Drosophila melanogaster: one gene and its partner. The protein of the gene in region 2 interacts with the protein of the main gene of each other region in a pairwise test. Each region holds a gene or a part of one and is shown on either strand. Other genes may lie near its edges. The genes, in order: Jabba and Ldsdh1.

Region 1 (6,742 bases), on a different chromosome or scaffold from region 2:
ATTTGGTACGATTCAATACTAAATGCCTTCTTTTAGACTTCATCAGCTTGTCTGACTATCCTCTATCACTTGGCTCGCAATCCATCAAAGCAAGAGAAACTGCGTCGGGAGCTACTCCGTATATTGCCCACCACCAAGGACTCGTTGACGGATCAAAATACCAAAAACATGCCTTATCTGAGAGCCTGCATCAAGGAGGGTCTGCGCATCACATCTATTACGCCGGGAAATTTTCGCATAACACCCAAGGATCTAGTGCTATCGGGCTATCAGGTGCCACGTGGCACTGGAGTTCTGATGGGTGTCCTGGAGCTGTCCAACGACGATAAATACTTTGCTCAGAGCTCTGAGTTCATACCGGAACGCTGGCTTAAGTCCGACTTAGCTCCGGATATCCAGGCTTGTCCAGCGGCCCGAACCCGTAACCCCTTCGTATACCTGCCCTTTGGCTTTGGACCTCGAACCTGTATTGGCAAAAGGATTGCCGAGCTGGAGATCGAAACGCTGCTGGTGCGACTCTTGCGAAGCTACAAGGTCAGCTGGCTGCCCGAAACTCCGATTGAATATGAAAGCACCATTATCTTATCACCCTGCGGTGACATTCGCTTTAAATTGGAACCAGTCGGTGACTTAATGTGATATGTTTATCCTAAGCTCAAGTACAGACTATCGGTTAAGTTCAGAGATTTACTCGCAGTATTCACTAACAATATGGGAATGTAAAAAAAATAGAAGAACGGCTAGCTGGCTAGGAGGAAATTCAAACGATATGACAAGGATATCCTTCCAAGGACTAGCGCCGATTGCGTCCACGATAACGTTGGTGGGGATGATTGCGTTGGCGCTGCTGTTGATTTTGCTGCTGATTCTGATTATGGACTTCCTTGGGAGTTTGGGGCTGAGTTTTCTCGGTCTCAGGTGTTTGGGGCACCGAGTTGTTTGCCTCTTCAATGGGTTGATCCCTCATCTCCGTCGTGGGCGTGGAGTGGGCTGAGGAACACAGTGATATTAGCCAGTTTACAAACAGGTAATGCTCTTTAATTACTTGCCCAGGACGGATTGAATGCTGGCCCTCTTGAGGAGAGCCTGGGTTCCTAGGCTAGTATTGAAGCAAGTGGGTGAACCTAAATGGGGAATGATAAGTATTTAAGATATTAAAAATGCTTAAAAATATTATGTCGGCAAGTTAGCAAGCAGAAGAGACTAAGATGGAAGAGCACACACCAATAGGGCTATAGAATATGTCTTCGGAGGAGGTGGCAGGAGTTAGGGTGTCAACAGTGGGATAGTTGGATAGATGTGAATCAGTTAACGTGGCGGCAATCTCAAGGATCTGTTCAGCTTGGGTATCTGGCTGGGTTTCATCGGCCTGGTAGACAGTTATCCCGGTTTGATTACTGCCACTGGAGCTGCAACTATCCTCTGCATCGTCATCTGTTTCTTCGGTTGAGGGTTGGGACTGGGATGTAGGTTCGGATGGGAATTCGGGTTCAGGCTGAGTGTCAGGTTCTGGATCAGGATCAGTGGTGACTGTTGTGTTTGAACACATGCACGGAGTAACAGAAACAGAGACAGAATACTAACGTTAAAATGTTAATTGGGACGACGTGGAGCGATTCTCGCGTGAGTTACCTGCAGCGGCAGTATTGTTGTACAGTCGGGTATTCATCACGGCTGCGCTCATGTGTCCTGGCGAAGATTTCCACTCCTCATCCGGCTGGGCAGCGGCTGCGATCGTTATCATTCGGTTGGGAATGGGGGAGAAACAGAGAGAGATTCGAGGTCAGGGCAACGGGAAGGAAATGAAACGAGGGGGCCAAACTCACAAGTGGCTTGGTGGCTAATTTTGAATTTTTCGTTTTCGGGCCTGCAAATGAATGGATGATCTACGGAAATGACTAAGTGTATTGTTGTATCGGTATTGTATTGTATTTCATGACAACGTTTCAAGTTCAGTTTTCATCAACGCTTAATTCGATAATCGATACTTGGAGTTAACCTAGACTTAGGGGGCTACGCACGAGAGTCTTAATAATGTTCAATGTCCATTACCAACATCCGCCTGCTCCTTGTCGTTGTTGCCATTGCTGGTTGTCGTTATGTTCAGTTTTCCCTTATCATTTTCCTTCTCCTCGGCCTTGTGCACTCCGTTTTCCACCACCGCTCCAGCTGACTTCTGCTTGGGCTTAAGGTATCATTTTGATTAATTGGAGCACTAGTAAGAGGCTATTGTGTAACCCACCTGGCTGACAACCTCATCCACCTCGCCGCTGCTTATTCCTTCGCTGGAGCCGGATTCGGATTCGCTTTCCCCGCTGCTGCTGCTGCTTTCCTCCTCCTCCTCCTCCTCATTGGGCACAAAGTCGGAGTCATCTTCGGAATTCTCGTTGGCATACTTGGCCAGCATTTGGTCGATGGTCAGGTCGGCATCGGCATTGCAGTCCTCCTCTCGAGGGCGCTTAACTACGAAATTGCTTAAACCCTGTACAATCAATTTGGAGATACATTTATTAGTTAATCGAAATTTTCAAAGCCTCAAACTGACCTGCTCCGAATGGCGGACAAACACCCGGCGACTGCTGCTATCCTGCTGAACTCCTGGACGGCACATGGCTCGGGAAAACCACTGATTGAGCTTCTGGGTCATACCCTTGCCACTGCCATAGGACACCTCCTGCTGGCGCCGTCTCATCACCTTTAGGCCATGAACCCGAATGGCCCGCAGCTTGCGGCGTCTAGTCTGTATAAAGTATACCATATCCGTAGGAGATATTGGACCATTGCCGATCATCAGGGCGCCAACCGATAACCAAATGCGTGTGAGCCGCAGCAGGACGATGAGCATCAGGAATGGAGCCCAAGGCAGGGGGCGTTCCAAGGGAGCAGAAGACTTGTCTATATACAAGAGGGAGGCAAATTTAGTTAGGTTAAGGTTTTAGTTAAGGTTTTCATATTAATTTTAGGATATAATATTTGATATTTGCTCACCTTGCGGAAGACTCCACTTGGCAGTATCCTCGATCATGGCCAGCGCTTTATCAGCCCGTTCGATCACGAATTGGCCAACTCGTGTGCTAGCAAATCGCTCCGCCTGTTCGCGAACCCGATCGTAAAAGCTGCGTGACTCGTGGAGTTCGATGACTTCTTCCTCGTCGATATGGTCTCGTTGGTTCTGGTCTTTGGCTGTCGCCACGGTCTTCGTCTCCTGTGCCATCTTGCTGATTCTAAAAAGCAAATTTTATTGGATGTATTCAAGTGAGATAAGCAACTGCAACTGTAAGTAGTGCGGTATATCTGCTAGGACGTTTCATCTGTATAATTTTTCGCTGTTATATGTCAATATATGCACTTTTTTAGTGCACATTGTGGCTTTAATATGCAATCTTGTCTATAATTCGACTTAATGGCAATTTAATTCTCGGCAATTACTAGAGCTGCCATAAATTTGGGATTGCCGCGTGATTAGGTGCTGAACGAGCGAAGAATACGGTAATGCCTTATTAATAAACCTGACGATCCGAGGTCGTCTGCCAGAGGAACCGAAAGTGGATCGCTTATCGGAGCGGATCGGTACTTCGCACTTGTTTGAGTTTCGGATGGAGGATTGCTTTTGTTTTTTGTTGCTGCCGTCTGGCAAAACTTATAGTCGCTATATGTACGTATAGCTCTAATGCCTTCCGCCGACAATGACTAACGGCAAATGAAATTAAGTAGACCTAGCTGCAGAATCAGCAACAAAAATCAAAACAAATTAAGTATTTTATAATTAGACAATCCGAACTTTGTACGATTCAAGCCGGCGGAATAGTTCCAATCGTTGATTACGGGAGATCTCCGTCTCGGAGCAATCGTTGTGTGGGTGAGGTTACTAGTTAGGTTATTGGTGATTTGAAATAATACCTATCGCGAGCACTAGGCTTGCCCATCGTTTGCTCGCACTTGTGAACACATAAATTACTTTCGAAATTGATAGCATCCATTCTCATTCTTGGCGCGATGAAAGAAATCTGGCGTATAATATAAAGTTACACAAGCATAACACTCAATTATTTGATATTTTTAGCGCTTATTGCATCGCCCAGAAAATACGCGAATTCTCAATAAAATAACAAAAATAATAAAATTATCACAAAAATTTGTTCTCGGGATCAAAGTGTATCTTCCTCTCTCATAAAATGCAAAATTAAAAACATTCTGCCACACACATGCCGCACTCCGAATGAATCGTAGCGAAACCCTGTTAGCCAGTGTAACGAGATGGAAGTGCAGAAGTCTGCTCTTCGGCGAGTGAGGAATACGATGTGAAAGGGGGCGAAGGAAAAGTAGGGGAAGCAGAGCGAAAGTATAAAGTGCAAGGCACTGGGGGGAATCGAGCTGATAACGGTAGTTTCGTTTTCCTGACATAATGGCGATCGCGAATCAGCGGAGCGGCCGCACAAACCGACTTATGCGGAATTCTCACTTACCGGTCTTTTCGATTGCCTTTCTCACGCTATTTTGTGCAATTCTATAGGCCTTCTTTTAAACTCTCGTACCAGCCGATAGTTTGCCCAAAAAATGCAGTTACTAGAAGATTTTTGGATATAATAAAAAACACTTTGGCAGAACTTTCTTCCAAATCTGCCTTGAAATCCTGGAGAAACGATCTACCGGCTGCACAACTCCCGACTGACTGATCAGTGGTTCTGAAATCGCGAGTTCTCGAACCGCAATCGACTTAAGCCGGGCAATCGGCTTTGATTCGGCTCCAAAACGAGCAGTCGAGTCAACTGTCAAAAGCGTTATCTCTCGTTTGAGGTCTCACCGAATGCCTCTCTTATTATTATAATCTTGCAAAGGTATTGTTTATAGGAAGTCTAAGTGACGATGGTTATCTGCTATTGCAGATCTGCATTTAAGATCTCCCAATTATGATTGGAAATTTACAACTAGCTGGTATTTCGATTTAAAAATTTTAAAACTGATCAGTCTGAATAACCAAATATTCAAATATTTCGAAATTAGTACTTTTATTAACTCTGTGAAAGTACACATAATTAAGTGTAAGTTATACTCTACCCATTTTACTTTTCAATTAACGTTAATGTTAAATGTTAAGTAATTCTTATTTAAGGAGATTAAATTAAATGAATTTGCCATGAATATAGGATCAGCAAAGCGAAGCTTGTCGCTATAGATTTTAAAGCCTGTCGCCAATGACAATCGTGTTTACCTGGCTTGTTTATCCTGTTTGAAGGACCCTTCGTCCTTTCGGTTCTTTTGAGCAACCACTCGACCGAATTGCACTCAATTTCGTTTTCGCTCGGCGCAAAAAGCTCTCGAAGCCCAGCAAGCGCGGAAAAGCTCTCGACAAGCATTCAGTTGCGCGAAAATTCTCCACGGCAGCGGACGGCATTGCGGAGCGCTTCTCCGTCCCGCTCACTCGAAACGCGCGTTTCTGTGTAAAATCAAAGGGACTTCCCGCTCCGCCCGTTTCCCACGCGAATTTCTGGAAGGACTCCGTTCATGCTCCTCTATTTGCGCCCGCTGAAAAACCCCATTCATCTCGCGTGTGTGTGCCGCAACTAGCTGGGGATATAAAAGCAGGAAAAGTTTAACCGTGTGCAGTGTGTTGTGAAACATTATTTGCCCAACTGCAAATGCAAAACGGCAGGGCAAGTCCTGAATGGGAGAATAGGAAAATCACGAGGAGTACCAGCAGCCAGCAAGGAAACTCGGAAAAACGCGCAGGCAGGAGGATGTAGTCGCGAAATTCGTATGCACTTGTCTTGGTGACCTCACTCACACAAATTCAGCGAACTGTGTGTGTGCTTGTCAGGATGTGTAAGTGTTTTTGGCGAAATAAAAATGTTTGGCTCCCACGATTGCCATTGATAAGCCACCAAACACACCTGGCTGACTAGAAACATTCCACCTGTGACAGCTGCGTGTGTGTGTTTTACATTTTTGTATTTTGAAGCAGCCCACCTCACGTAATCCGTTATCCCTTATCCCTTATCCTTTGGGCCCGACCAACTCCCTTTGATGCTGGCGTGTGGTATATAGCCACGAGTATATGGCCGGGCTCCACTGAATGCTGCCACTTGAGCAGCTGAGTCGCTCTCAAAAGCCAACGCCGCACAATTTGGACAGCTATTTTTATGCGGGTTGAGTGCGGCTTTGGCTAAATTAGTTTGCGCATAAATTTTTGCCACGACAATGGGGTGCTCGAGTTGTTTGTGAAGAAAAGCAGACAAATAGGGCATTAAGAAACATTTACAAACACATACATAAATCATGGTCTACTGACCTATATATATAAAATCTTTAATTTGTCCGCATTTGTGGGATAACACTTGTTCAAATGTTAAGGCATGTACGCAATAGAAAAATCTTTAAGGTCAAAGATGTCTATAAAAAGTTTGCCCTTGACAAATGTGTGTTCTCTTCGAAATAATTAATCAATAGACTGTAAATAAAATATTAACAGTTAGCCAAACGAATAAAAAACTTTGAACTAAAAGTAAATGTTAGCTTTCTGATATCCGTTTGCAGCACGGAACTTATCGAACCTCCCTCGCTCCGATTTTGGCGCCATGTCAGCAAGGGGTTAGGACCGATAACCTCTGAAACGCACAGGTTCCGCGGACTTTACGACGGCCATTCCACCACCCAAACCGCCACCCCCCCCCCCTCATTTTCAGCTGCTGTTTCGTCATGGCAGTTATGGCGTCTTTGCATGCCGCTGCGCTTCCGGTCCACA
Region 2 (5,675 bases):
GCAACTGGCAAGGAGAAGGCACTCATGGCCGCCGTAAGAATTGAACATTCTGTAATGTAATCCCCTCTCTCTAATTAACACTATATCTTCTGGAAGATGTTCGAGCGGGAGATCGTGCGGTGTAAACTACTGGAGGCTCGCTATGATGAAGTTAGGCTAAAGCGGAAAACGCTTCAAATGGCCGAGGAGGAACGTGTCCGGAAGCAGCAACAACTGGCGCCCACTCTCGAGCTGGATCCCGACAATCCCGATCAGTTTGTGATGATGATCGAGGGCGATGAAGAATTTCGCACGGCCATCACCGAATTCCAGGACATCATACTCAGTGTGGAGAGGAAGCGTTCCAAGCGGCAGGTGATCATGGAGCGTACGGTCTTTGAGGAATGGAATCCGGCTGACGAAAAGCTTCAGGGTGAGCCCGTCGTATACACCAAGCCCGAGCGAAAGGTTCAGACGTCGGGAAACTATGACAAGAGGACTTCGGGAGAGCCAAGAGCTTCGCAAGGATCCATGAAGCACCAGTAAAAAAAAATATGAATATGAACTATTGGATATGTTGATATGATGTGCAAATTGAAATAAAGTTATCATTTAAATACAAACTGTTTGCCAAAGCTGCGGGAAACAGATGAAACCCCATACGATGAGCACCATTAAGACCATGACTAGCGGGTCAAACCACATTTAATCACATTATGGAGTACTCTTTGGAGACCTTTATTACGACCAACACAATTAGCCCGACTACGTGCGACTTTTTAATTAAGTAACAACCTTTCTAACAGCTAAATTTAGTTCGTTAAATTCACTTTTCATATAGCATTAGTTGCACTTCTCTACACAGCAATTAAATGGAGTTAATAGTACACTGGGAAAAAAAAAATAAGCAAAATAAAGTGAACAAATGGGGGGGGAGAAGATTAAAGCTAAATCATCCACTTTTAGATGGATAATGGGGTGTTCAATTTGGCCACTTGGAGCTGAGCTCTAGGACTTATCGGTATCCACACCCGTGTCGAAGAAATCGTTGACCAATCGCATCGCCTTGCGTGGAATCAGGCGACCGATCTTCTCAGCGGCCACGAAATGTCGTGGAATCGCCGCCTCCTCCAATCCCTGGCGCTGAGCCTCGATGATCGATCCGGCGGCCACATCGGCGGGTATCAGCTTGAACAGATTGGGGAATCGGTAGCGGGGATTCTTGCACAGACCCGTATCGATCATATACGGATATATGGTAGTCAGCTTGACCTGCAAGCGGAAAGTAGGTGGGTTATATTAAACTTCGAATTCATGGAGTTATTATGGGAAAAGGTCTCATCCATATGAGATAATAAAATCGTAGTGTGAAACCAAGATGCTCGCCTAACGGTGAGAATTAAACGGGCTGCTTGGTACGAGCTATAATATATTATTTTTAATTAGCTACTCTTAACCACCTAATAACCTTTTAATTGGACACTCAACTGGATTATAATGAGCAACTAAATGCTAATAAAAGTGTGAGTGAGTTGGTACTTACGTTGTTCTGTGGGTTCTTCTGACGCAGCTCCTCAACGAGGGCGGCCATGTAGCCACGAACGGCGAACTTGGTGCCGCAATAGGGCACCAGATTGATCAGTCCAAAGAGTCCGGCGCATGAGGATAGGGCCACAATGCTGCCCTCGTTGCGCTCAATCATATCGGGCAGGAACGCCTGGATGATCTGTGAATGAAGTGAATGGTCGTCAATGTTACTATTGAGATAACATCGATATTAACACTATCACATCAACTTACCCAGAAGTGAGAGAGCACATTGATCTCGTACATTAGACGAATCTCGTTCTCGGTATGCTCCAGCAGTGGATGGCAGGGCATGATGCCGGCATTGTTGACCACCACATGAATGAATCCATGCTCCTTGCGCACCTTCTGGGCCAGTTCGATCAGTTCCTCGCGCTTGGTCACATTGCAAACGTAGCCAAAGGCCTTGCCACCATTGTTCTTGATCTCCTTGACGGTCTGGTTATTGGTCTGCTCATTGACATCCCAGCAGAGAATGGTGGCGCCCAGCTTGGCGTACTGCAGTGCCATCTCCTTGCCCATGCCGTGGCCAGTGCCGGTGATCAGGACCACCTTGCCATTGACATCATCGAGCGGCGGCGCGCGGAAAAGTCCAACGATAGCTTCCGCAATGGCGAGCCAGAATTTGACGATCAGCATCACGATGTCAACCACCAGCAGGACAATGTTGTAGATGTCATTGCTGTTGGCGTTGCTGCCGTTGTCAGCACTGAAAGAAATATGTACGATATTATTACCAAATATTAGGGTAAATTTAAGGCTTAATTGTGAGCATGTTTCTGTAAACTACATTAAATATATATATATTTGCTTTTTAATAATAAAGTAAACCACATAATGCTATGGTTTTTTGTGGCAAGTGCGTGCTTTCTCTACATTGACTCTTGATCTTGGGCATCATCATAATTATCAAGCGGAGTGGAGTTCAAATGGGATTAATCCGGAACCCTCCAACTCTTGCATGACCCACAGTCATTTGGATGGCAAGTATGTGCGTGTATATGCCTTATCTTACAGCCAGCGACAATCGCATGACCTTTGCCATCCTCACTTTTTGCGGCTACACTGGGAGAAAACAAGTCGCTTAAATGAAAAATTTTCTTTGTATCATTCCATTTTTTATGACACATTTCTGTTATTTACTTATCAATGATGTCATGTAATGTGTTTCGGTTTTTCGTGGGAAATGCGGAAATAGCCAAAAAAAAAAAAAGGGGGGCGGCAATGGGCGGGTTTGGGTGGTTCCAACGTGGGTCATCGTGTTTTCTCCCAGCTCATGTTCTGTAATTATATTTCGCTGGCTGCAGCTGCGTGAGATCTTGATAATGCCGAACTGTTTCCAGCTTTTTGGTTTTTTTTTTTTTTTTTTTGGTGTGGTTTCAATGTGTTTTCGCCCATGCATTACGTAGTGCGATAGTATATGCATATATGTATATATATATACTTGCTATATATTCTAGCAGATCGTGCCATCGACTTGACCATCATTACCATGTCCCTCTCTCTCTCGCTCTCGCCCCCCTTGCACTTTCTATCGCTCCGTTTCACTTGCGCATTTCACTGCCATGGAGACTGCTCTTATCGGAATGCTACTTCTGGAATGCTATTTATAGTACGACGTTCGGAATCGGACCAAAATCGTTCCGAACAGCCCACAATATTGGAAAATATTTTCCATTTTGGAAAGTAGCATAGTATTTGAACTGCGATCCTCTGCACTTATGTCCTCTCAAGCGTGTGAAAACTATTTCACCGAAAAAAAAAAATTTCAAATGATCCTTTGCCCGGTCAATAAGTGTAAGGCGATCTTTGGTCAGGGCAATTTGATATAGTTAAACTAAGTCGAACGAAGGTGAATGGCGCTTAAGTGAGCGGATACAGATTGCACAATGGTTGGTCAAAGGTTGAAGCGATCATCCATCATCATTCATATGGATGGTTTGGTCATCTATAATGCGATCTCTGGGCCAATTATTCCATCGAGCTGAATAGTATTAGTTAGTATTTGGTGCTCATTGAACCCTGCTCCTCCGGGCCACTGGTTGTAGACCCAAGTCGATAAGGTGATCTTATCGCTGGCGATTAAAATATTGCACTACACTTTGTTCCAAATGTTCCGTTGATAAGATAGTTCTCTTAGGTTTTTTTTTTTTCTTTTTCTTTTCTTGATTTGTTACCAACTGGTGGGTAGCACTTCTGTTTCGGTGATTACCCACCTTTGCGTCACTTTCGACATGTTTCGTGTATTTGGCTAAATCCTGCGAGGATCGTTAATGTATATATATATCTATATATATATATACGTATATAGGAAGGGATCGGAGCAGCCGGAGCAAACCGTTAGCGGCTGTTAACGAATTCGGACTGAATATTGAGCAAAGTAAACACTACGCACCGTACCGCCACGCCGGTCTTATAAGTTATTATTTCAAATCTACTCACACACACACACTCACACACACACACACACACCACTGGGTTTTCAAATACTATATGGTACTGGTACACTGGCACACCGGCACTACTTGTAGATACACTCTGCCGGCAGCGTTGACGTCGACCGCGGCAGCGACGCAGGCAGAGCGTTCTATAAACACAACTACGACATATGTTCAATGGCACTGTCATTCCGATTTATACCATTACAATCCAATGCGATGCGATCCGATCCGATCCGATCTATATGGAACGAACGATATCCGCGGATGTGCAACGGTTCAGCCGGTATGAAATGCATATTTCTATGTATGTATTTATTTTTGTTAGATAGCAAATGCCTGTTTGTTAATCCGGGGTCCGGTAATAATACCCTAGTCGGCCATAAATAAGATATATATGTGTCATATATAAAAATACACACAACCAGGCGGAGTTTACGACCCAGATCGTTCAGATACCCAGATACTTAGATACACAGATACTTCGATACTCAGAGAGATGAGATACAGAGATGCGGTGTGCGAAAGCCAAAGGTGAAAAAAGTGCCAAAGGGGGTGCTAATGCCAAGGTAGATCTACGGCGCCGATATTAACACACAAAAGCTTCGCCTAAACAGATCGGTTTCATTCACTTATTTTTTTTTTGACCAAATCATATGCGAAGATAAGCACTGGCAGGATGATCTTTGGCCTACGGCAAAAAAAAAACAAAAAAAGCTCAGGAAACCAGAACCAATGTACAATGTACGCCAATGAGAGGTATTATTTGGTTCAAAGATTTAGTTTTTTTTTTTTTTTATCAGGGTAGGGTATGATGGTTAGAGGGTAGGGTCTTAGCTGTGCACTACTTGACCCCTGAGACATAGGAATCAGATTGCGATTAGATAGTGCTCCTTGCCATTTGCCGGCTCAGCATGATGCATTATTTTTCGATTGGAACATTGGGTCAAAGTATGGGACTCTCACCATATAGAGAGTCGGGCGAGTAGAGCCCAACCCATGAAGATAAGAATGGGATTCCTTGGGTTATTGGTAATACATTTATATGAGTGATCACTTCATCGGCGATATAACTAACGTTCAACGTTCATCCGCAATAGCAAACAGGCGCTTCTATATAATTAAGTATATTGCTAAGAATTTAATTATTCATAAACGACTGGTTTTTTTTTATATGGCACATATATATATTTTACAGCTGACAACACTAATGACTAATTAGAGACTTGTGCTACTAATATATTCACAATAGTTTCTCAAACTTTTAAATTGCAACCAGATCTATAAAGGGCGATTAATCTGATCTTAACTATATCTGCTATATCTGTTACTTATTTATGGTCAACGTCATGGGTGATACTTTGTTTGCAATTCCAAAGTAAGTGCATTAGCATTTATTACTTGTGTTAAATCGTTCTAGTTTGAATACTGAAAGCTTAGTAAAATATAAAAATTTTGTATATTAATATTGAGATGTAATGCCAAGTCAAGTTGATTAACATTATCTGCTCGCCTCTCCATCAAGGGCAGCATCTTCCTTTCCGGCTACTCGAACTTGGACGGACACCTTATAGCTGACATGCTGCACTCACTCATTCCGGTTCGCCGTCTATCCGATCCGATTCGAAACGATCCGGTCCACCTTCCATATGCCAGATGGAATGGAAGCCA

What was found.
Region 1: the proteins of Ldsdh1 (region 2) and Jabba interact in a protein complementation assay, tested with the Drosophila melanogaster proteins (one study listed by BioGRID).

The regions. Positions count from the first base shown.
Region 1 is NT_033778.4:18,756,399-18,763,140, forward strand, and holds Jabba (jabba), read right to left. Parts: upstream 4,685-6,742; 5' UTR 4,467-4,684; intron 3,699-4,466; exon of another isoform or gene 3,510-3,698; intron 3,225-3,509; 5' UTR 3,215-3,224; coding exon 2,989-3,214; intron 2,896-2,988; coding exon 2,546-2,895; intron 2,483-2,545; coding exon 2,243-2,482; intron 2,186-2,242; coding exon 2,053-2,185; coding exon of another isoform or gene 2,039-2,052; exon of another isoform or gene 1,907-2,038; intron 1,887-1,906; coding exon 1,827-1,886; intron 1,729-1,826; coding exon 1,633-1,728; intron 1,580-1,632; coding exon of another isoform or gene 1,531-1,579; coding exon 1,225-1,530; intron 1,125-1,224; coding exon 1,050-1,124; coding exon of another isoform or gene 1,046-1,049; intron 991-1,045; coding exon 794-990; 3' UTR 676-793; downstream 1-675. Other genes in the region: Cyp12b2 (cytochrome P450 12b2), read left to right, coding at 37-639.
Region 2 is NC_004354.4:8,077,648-8,083,322, forward strand, and holds Ldsdh1 (lipid droplet subset dehydrogenase 1), read right to left. Parts: upstream 3,959-5,675; 5' UTR 3,803-3,958; coding exon 3,783-3,802; intron 2,276-3,782; coding exon 1,780-2,275; intron 1,706-1,779; coding exon 1,523-1,705; intron 1,252-1,522; coding exon 988-1,251; 3' UTR 703-987; downstream 1-702. Other genes in the region: CG1571 (uncharacterized protein), read left to right, coding at 1-33, 97-525.